Linked DNA regions of Canis lupus familiaris. The protein of the gene in region 2 binds, or shares a complex with, the protein of the main gene of each other region. Links are inferred from orthologs where the notes say so. Each region holds a gene or a part of one and is shown on either strand. Other genes may lie near its edges.

What was found.
Region 1: TBL1XR1 (region 2) and GPS2 share a complex: the UniProt entries of both Homo sapiens proteins name them as parts of the N-Cor repressor complex. The link is inferred for Canis lupus familiaris from reciprocal best matches to the Homo sapiens genes TBL1XR1 and GPS2.

The regions. Positions count from the first base shown.
Region 1 is NC_049226.1:32,479,169-32,483,748, forward strand, and holds GPS2 (G protein pathway suppressor 2), read right to left. Parts: upstream 3,051-4,580; 5' UTR 2,932-3,050; intron 2,736-2,931; 5' UTR 2,667-2,735; coding exon 2,573-2,666; intron 2,264-2,572; coding exon 2,154-2,263; intron 2,075-2,153; coding exon 1,962-2,074; intron 1,832-1,961; coding exon 1,752-1,831; intron 1,660-1,751; coding exon 1,577-1,659; intron 1,385-1,576; coding exon 1,231-1,384; intron 1,125-1,230; coding exon 1,035-1,124; intron 954-1,034; coding exon 874-953; intron 787-873; coding exon 691-786; intron 508-690; coding exon 424-507; 3' UTR 332-423; downstream 1-331. Other genes in the region: NEURL4 (neuralized-like protein 4), read right to left, coding at 3,573-3,777, 4,178-4,343, 4,439-4,551. UniProt on the Homo sapiens protein: Key regulator of inflammation, lipid metabolism and mitochondrion homeostasis that acts by inhibiting the activity of the ubiquitin-conjugating enzyme UBE2N/Ubc13, thereby inhibiting 'Lys-63'-linked ubiquitination.
Region 2 is NC_049255.1:40,849,111-40,852,915, forward strand, and holds part of TBL1XR1 (F-box-like/WD repeat-containing protein TBL1XR1), read right to left. Parts: intron 3,517-3,805; coding exon 3,294-3,516; intron 2,525-3,293; coding exon 2,392-2,524; intron 1,842-2,391; coding exon 1,700-1,841; intron 1-1,699. UniProt on the Homo sapiens protein: F-box-like protein involved in the recruitment of the ubiquitin/19S proteasome complex to nuclear receptor-regulated transcription units. Plays an essential role in transcription activation mediated by nuclear receptors.

The DNA.
Region 1 (4,580 bases), on a different chromosome or scaffold from region 2:
AGGGGACCTGCCCCCTCCTCAGGCATCTGGGAGGGCCCTGCCCCCATGGGCTTTACCCTTTCCTGTGGGCTCTCTCCCCGACACATTTGTTAAAATCAAACCTGAATAAAACTACAAGTTTAATATGAAGGCCCCAACTCAGTTGCTTCTTTGAATTAAATGGGTATTTGCTGACTAGAAAGTCAACTTAGAAATTACACATAAACAACTATGCCAAAGAGTTCCCTCTTACCCACCCACCCAGCTTCACCTGTTAGTTGCCTGTCACTCCTCACCCTCCACACAGCCCTGGCCCAGCCCGGGAGGGAGGTGATGCACACAGCAGCAGAGGGGCAGAGGCAGGTAAATTTTATTAGACTGGGACACCAAGTTCCCTCACCCACGTCAGGGGCTGTGGCTGAGGCTGAAGATAAAATCTGATGATCACTTGTGGTAGAATCGTGGATTCTGGCTGTGCTGGATGAAGGGGAGACGAGGGCCAGGCTGGCTGGTGGCTGCGAAGCCCGACTGGTGGCAGAAGTGGGGGGACTTCGTTGGTGTGTACCCTGCCCCTCAATCTACACCCGAACTCCCAGCCATCCCCACCCCAGGAGGAAATGGGAGAGGAGGGGTGGGCGCCGCCTCTCCTACACAATCTGGTTTTCCCCCTGGAAGGGTAGGGCCCCAGCCGGGTCCGACCCCTGGCCTTACCTTTCCTGCTGGCTGCATCTGCACCGGGAGCTGAGGAGAGGCGAGGAGCCCAGGGGCTGGATGCAGAGCCTGTGGGTGCATGGGGCGCAGGGAGGACTACGGAGAAGAGAGTCAGGGTCCGAGGCGGCCTGGGGCACCCCTGGGCCCAGCACTGCCCCTGCCCTGCCCAGGCTCTGTACTCACAGAGTCTGAGAAGCTGGTCTGCTGGTTAGCGTGCTCCATCTGCTTCTGTAAGGACAGGGCACCGCCAGGCTGGAGGAAGCCTACAAAGGGAAGGATGGGTGTGTGGAACGCGGAGGCGGGGAGGACGCTCAGCCCTGGGGCCCTGGCGGGGGCATCCTCACCTGTCTGGGTGGGCTGAAAGTGGCCGTGCACCGTGTAGGGCTGTGGCTGCGGCTGCGACAGGTACTGCACTGCTGGGAACGCCGAAGGTGCTGAGGGAGGCAGGAGGCACAGCCTGTCGAGCCTCCTTCGGGCCTGCCTGGGACCAGCGGCCTCTGGGTCTTGGAGGAAGCGCCCCCCTCCCAACCCACGGCTCACCTCTGAGCTGCTGACTGGGGCTATAGGCCGGCTGCGTGGGTCCGTAGTGAGGCGGGGGCTGCGCGGTCCCATAGGCACTGCCGGGGCTGCCTTGGAACTGGCCATGCTCCGGGGTCCCGGGGAAGGCAGCTGCAGAGCCCACATAGTGTCGCGTCTGAGGAAGGAAGAGGAGCGCTGGCTGCTGCTGGAAACTCCTCCAAAGCAGAACCCCAAGCGCCTTGTATGTGCCCAATTTTCCACCATTTGGTCAAGTGCTGGACAACATTGGTGACTTGAATACTTGTTTAATGCGGGTGCCCGTGTCTGCATGGAAATGGCGGGCTACACACCCAATGCTACTCCTTACTGTAAGCACTTGGGGTCCGAACATCTGTTTGGCCCTGTCAGCCGCCATGAGGGTGCCTGGGCGGTTGTGTCCTCCAGGGCTCCCTAGACAGGGAGACGGGCTTCATGAGGCTGCAGTGGGGTGGCTGCAACCCCCGGGAGGGTGCATTCTAACAAGCGGGTTCTTCATTCCTCACCCTGCATGCTGAGGAGGTGAGTCCCAGTGTGGACGGTCAGGCTCTGCTGGTACGCAGCTGAAGTCAAAGTGGTCAGGTCACTGCAGTGAAAGGCAGGCAGGTCAAAACCAAGAATGAAGACAAGTGCCCCCTCTTTTGCCATCAGACACCCATCTGGTGTTACCCATCCCAGTTACTGTCTCAATTTTATTTTTAGCTCTCCAATCCCACCTCTGCTCCTTTCGCCTCCGTTTCTCTTCTTCATGTAAAACTTTCTTGAGCTGCAGGAAGAGCTGGTGCTTCTCTTCCTGAAGGGCCAACAGCTTCTCCTGCAACTTCAGGATCTGAGAAGGCAGGGGAGAGGAGCTGACGGCAGGAGAGCCAAAGGAGGAAAAAGCTGGGACAGAGCAGGGGGCTGCTTACTTGTTCCTTGGTCTCCTCTAGTGACATTCTCTCCTCCATCTCCTTTTTCTTCCTCCTCTCTTGCTCTTCCTTCATCTTCTGTTCCATCATCTTGTCTACCTCTTCTTCCTCTGGAGAAAGAACCAGGTGCAATGGGAAGAACGCAGGGTGGTTAAAACACTAGGACGTTAGAGATGGAGAAGCGGGGAAACCTGCCGGTGCCAGTGCTCCCTCTGCTCCTCTCCTCCCAGGGGACTGGGAGGGAGGGTATGTCAGGTGCTCTCCAAGGTCCTTCCCGGCCCGAGTCTTCTGGAGCCCGGACCCGGCCTGCAGCTCCCTCCACCAGTGGCGGGCCGTCCCACCCTCCTCCCGCGCGGCCGCGGCGCGGCGCTGTGCCCATGGTGCGGGGCTTGGGGGTCCTCCCCCTCGGCCGGGCTCACCCTGCCGCTTGCGCTCCCGCTCCATCATGATGTGCCGGTGCAACGCCCGGGCCATGGCGTTGGAAAGCTTGGGGCGCTCCAGGAGCGCGGGCATGGTGCCACGGGGGACGCTCGGGCCGTGGGCGCCCGGCTCTGTCACGGACTGCCAGACCTTGGGCCGGGCCTGCCGAGAAGCGGGCGCTTAGGAGGGTCGCGCCCGCGGGCCGAGGCGGAAGCCCGCCTGCCGCCGCCGCCCCGGTCACGTGCCCGGCGCCCACCCTCCGCCGCCCGGCCGGTCCCGGGTGCTCCGGGTGCCCCTGTGCTCCGCGTGCGCCGGCGGGCTGGGGTCTCCGGCCTCGGCGCCGCCCGCCCCTCCCTACCCGCCTTCGCTGCGCTTTCTCCGCGGCTCCTGTGCGCCTCGGCCGCGCGTCACATCCGGCTGCCGGGCCGAGTCCTTCCGGAGCCGGGGCGGCCGGCGGCCTCGCGGGACGGGCGCAGGGAAGGGCGGAAGCGGCTGCGACGGGTGCCGCGGGGGGCCAAACTCCGTCGGCGCGCCGGGCGCCCCCAGCTGGGCAGCCCTGGGGCTCGTCGGGGGGCGGTGCGAGAGGGGGATGAATGAGAAAGAGGCCGAGGCGCGCGCTCTGGGACAGCGTTTATTGGCTCCTTGGAAACCCGCGTCCGTAACAACTGTACAGAGGCCCACCTTCCCCGCGCCCGCCCCCACTCCGCCCGGCGGCCCGGGGAGGCTCCTCGGGATTCACAGTAACAGGAACGAAAACGGAAATAAATTAAGTGATCCGGGGGAGGGAGTCCAGGGAGTCGTGTTCCCCGAGTCAGTGCATGAGGGGAGACTGCCGGCCCCGAGTGGGAGGCGTGGGCCCTGCACGCGGAGATGCGTTCCTGCTCCAGAGATGCGTCGGGCTCTGGGGGCTCCGGGGGCTCGGGGAGCACCCGCCGCGGCAGGGGATGCTAAGCCAGGGCCGGGGGGGCCCCACTGTGCTTGTCGTCCAGAGGCCAGCCCTCACTCCACCCGCACCAGCAGGGCATAGAGGAGTGTGGCCCCCTTCTCCTTGGTTATCCACTCGAGTTCTGCGGGGCTGAAGTGAGGGTCGGGAGGTTCTCGGAGGGTGGCCGAAGGGGGTCCGGGGGTGTAGGAGCCCGGGCGCACGCACACCTGGAACGCCACCTGGGCCTGGTGCGTTCGCTGGGACTTGGGATCCCGGAATCTGCAGGGCAAGAAGAAGGCCAGCCGTGAGGCCTCCAGGCTCCTCCCTCGGCTGCCTGCGGGGGGGGGGGGAGGGGGGGGGTCACTCCCACCTCCCAGAGAGAGGTGGCTTGGCTCTGGCCGCACCCCTGCTTGCTGGGGTCTCTCCAGGGCGCTCCCTGGCTTCCCTCTGCAGGCCTCTGCCCAAACCTAACCTTCGTCGCCATGTCTACCCTGACTACTGTGTGCCTGTACCTGTGCAAAGCACACCTGGGACCCACTGCGTCCCACTCTACTTTTATTTCCACAGTACTAGTCACCTTCAACAGTAAATGTGCTAGAGTGAGACAAGACCCAAGTGTCACAGCGGGGACACCAATGGGAAGCCATGGAGACCCCAGTCCCAGCCCCCATGTACTCACTGCACTTTGGACGCTAGGGTCTCGGCCCCAGCATACTGGAGGGAGGGGGACAGCAAGACGGAAGGGGGCTGCTCCTCCCGGGGTGGGGCGCAGTTCTCGCCAGGCTCCTCAAACCCCACCCCAGGCTTGCCTTTCAAGGGCCGGCAGCTCAGGATGGAGGCGGTGCCTGCGGGGAGAGCCAGTCAGGATGGAGGCGGTGCCTGCAGGGAGAGCCTCCTGGCCCAGGCCTGGCTTGCCCCTTCTCTGCCCCTGCCCCCGGACCTGCTCCCAGCTCTCCTCGGTCTAGCACCCTCCGGATGGCTGCCACGTTGCTCCCGTGATATGCCATGTGCCACTTCTTAGTCATCGTTCCAGCTTCCAGGCGGGGATTCACCCTAGGGTGTAGACCGGGCAGACTGGACAA
Region 2 (3,805 bases):
ATTCAACAGACTACTGCTGGGATTAGTGAACACTACTGAAGACACAGAATGAAGTCCTGCCTTACTCAGTGCCTTGTGGATGCTTTTTGGAAAGGGAATTGAAAACAAGATCGCCTTTTTTCAGACCTCTCAAGCCAGTCAGCTGTACAGGTAAGTGAAAAACAAACAGATGCTGGTACTAGGGGATGTAGGTTCAGTCCTTCCAGAATCTGGTTCCACAGTTTCATCTGAAGAAGGAGCCATGTTGAAACCAAGAGCAAAAGCCAACTTCTAGACTCTGCACGATGGGAAGCTTCCTTAAAACTCCTGGCCCCCGGATGTCTTAGTTCATGGACCACCACAGTAGGAAAAGAATACTTTAAAGATAGCGTATCTCACAGGCTCTTGCATTAGTCATGGAAAAGAACCATTCATCAAGGATAATGTTTTCCCGTTGGTGGAAGATTCAAATTCACAGTGAATAATATGTTTGAAAAGTCCACACTTCCACAAACTATAACTTGCAGTTCAGAATCACCAAGCTCAACAAACATTTGTTAACCATCCTTTTCACGGTAACCTGTAAATTTCATTAAGTTAAAATAAATGGTTTCTGAGCCAAACAGTATATGAGGGCAATAAGGCCTTTGACTTAAGATAGAATAAGGTCCTATGTTGAGAAGATAATTCTTAGTCCTGACCCTACAGGAATTTGTTTTAGAAAAATTTCATAAGAACTGAGAACTTCTGCTGGAGAAACCGTTTTTAAAAAAAGACCTCATTCATTGGAATGAGATTTGGATTTGGAAGATCCTTTGGAAAGTCGCACAAAAGTTGTTGGACAGGGGCTGGAGGAGGAAAGGGTGTTTGTTTGCTGAAGAAAGAACCACGAACCCCATGAAATGCTCAAGAATACTAAAATTGTCTAAGATGTTTCTTAGGCTTGGGAAGACAGGTAAAAAATGGATGCAAAGTCACAAGGAAGGAAAGAAGGCAACATGGAATAAAGGAAAATATACAGGAACTTTAAAAATGCTAATTTTCCACAAATCAATCATAGTTGGAAATGGAAACAAACAGAGCTGGTTATCATGTACTTGAAACCGACGGGTGAAGCTTTGTCAACGAGGAGCTCAAACTTTCTGGTGAGTCAGAGCACTAAAGGTATCTCTGAAAGATGTGGAATGACATAGAGGATCAGCTAACTGTAAGATTCCCACAGCTACAGCAGAGCCTAGACTAATGGTCCCTAAAAGGCAGTCGGCAATGAAGTCTTCAGCAGTTCTGAGCAAAATGAGAAAAACAAGAACATGCTTTTATTTTGCAAATTTCTCTTACCCCTAGCAAAGGACTTCGCAGTTAAGGACTTAGTGTGTGCCAGTTGTTGATTTTCATCTATCACCCCATTTATGTACTACCATTACCACACCTCTACCTAACATTTGAGGAGCATGAAGTGCAGAGGGGCAACCACCAGTGTGACAAAGGTTCTGCTGCAAGATCAACTGCAGAGCTGCAAGTCGAACCTAGGTCTGACTGCTGGAGGGCCAGCCTTTGATTTAATAGCATATTTGAGAACGGGGAGTCCTAGGTTGTCGTTCTTATTAGTGAAATTCAAAAATATCTGAACAAATGGACAAACGCTGCTATTAGTCTGAGGTTCAGAGATGTTAAGTAGATTAGGAACTGTAGTCATCACGGATAATACAGTGATACTCACATTCCAATCTAGGGATGTCACATCCTTGTTGCTTGGGACATCTTGCCCTCCTTCCCGTATACAATGTCTAAGTACTAATTGTGTGGAGCCACTAGTGCTATTTTCACTAAGATTCCATATTCTTGCTGTTGAGTCTCCAGACCTAGAAAGTATGCAATATATTTTAAATTGTCATGATATTCTCAAGTATCCCAGAATCAAAGCAACATATTTACATACTATTATTAATAAGGCAAATAAAAACTAGACTCTCTGGGGTTTCCATTTCCACTATATTCCTTAGTCTCCATTTTGGGGGCCCTCAGCACTTTTGAAGAAGCTTAATTAAAACTTCTAAGATTATGGGGGCACCTGGAGGGCACAGTTGGTTGAGCAACTGACTCTTCCTTCTGGCTCAGGTCATGATCTCACAGGTCCTGAGACCCAGCCCCAAGTCGGGCTCTGTACTCAGTGTGGGGGCTGCTTGAGATTCTCTCCCTCTCCCTCTCCCTCTCCCCCTCCTGCTTGTGTGTGCGCATTCTCTCTCAAATAAGTATACCTTTTCAAAAAATAACTTAAGATTAAGTTATGAAGAAATAAAGATTTACAGAGACAAAAGGACCACAAAGAAGCAACAAAAACATGTCAGTAATGCTTTTATAAAATGTGTACTCGTTCAGTAGGATATTTAAGTCTCACATTAAGAAACATACCCCGATGCCAAGAGATCACTAACGGGGTTCCAGGCACAGATGAAAACTTCGGATTCATGGCCCCGTAACACAACTGCTTTATTAGGAGGGATTTCAACATCCCCGTCCACTTCCATCATATCAGTATGATTATCTGTGTCATGAGAATCAAGTGGAAAATTCCGGTTAGGTATTATTATAACGCCCTGAGGGGGGAAAATAATTCTTAACCAGCATTTTATACCTCCCTTGTAACATATAATGTAAAAAAACAAAAAACAAAAACCAAAAACCAAAAAACTATGTCAGGTAATGGCAAAAATAATTATACAGCACTTGTCACACGAGAAATAAATTCCTATCTTTAGTTACGTCTGACCCTACTATTTTTAAAAAGATGTGTGTGTGTGTGTGTGTGTATGTGTGTGTGTGTGTGTGTGTGTTTGGGGTGATGAGGAGGCAGTGAGAAAGACTGCAAAAAGGTTAGAGCCAAACAAGGCTAAAATGATAAAATGATCTGAATTAAATATAGTCCATGCCAACACTATTCTGAATTTCTGCCAGTAGGGGTTGCTGATATCATTCATATAACATGAGAGTTGCCTTCCTATCTCCATGTCAGAGCTTTACTGGGTTAATGACTAGTATTACAAATTTTCTTTCAAAGTCAAGAGCAAACAACAAAATTTATCTTATAGTAGAAAATGGTTTCTAAATATTTAAAGAAGAAAATAAAATCCATGAAAGTAAATCTAGCTTTTTGGAGCTTCAGGAATAAAAATCTGAATTGTGATACAAGTTAAGGGAACAAGTTGGCATAAATGAAACAGACGATGTTACTTCAGTTTAGAAGATGACACATCTACACAAAGCAAAATACTTTTCCTGCAAAGGAATTTTTAGAAATTCTTATTTCAGCTCACTTGCTATAGTATGTGCTCCGTTCTCCTCCCCATTTGCTGTGTTTTCTCCATTTTTTGCAGACCCCTGTTGGTTTGTGGCGGCTGTGGAGGTGGCGGCAGCTGCGGCCTGCTGCTGTGCGAGCTTATCCCTGTAAGCTTGCTGTCTGGTCTGCACCACATCAGGCATTACGGCGTCTATCAGCGACAGAGACTCTATTGGCCGACCATCGAACAAGGTACCATCCTGGAGATGGAGAATTTTGAGGCAGAAAACACGAAAGAGACATACTTAGGGTGAAGCAACGGCAAGGAGCTGCTGAAATTCTCCTTCCCACCTAGTTCATACTGGTGAGGATAAAGCCGAAATATTGAAAGGAATAGTGAAAAGTGGGCCCAGGTGATAAGAAGTTTATTAATTAGATCCCAAAATTCCGTCGGGGAAAAGCAATGAACAACACTAAGGAGTTCATGCAACGGGAAGAGAGGCTTGGGGCCACATTAGGATAAACACTTCTTTACAACAAAAAACTTTT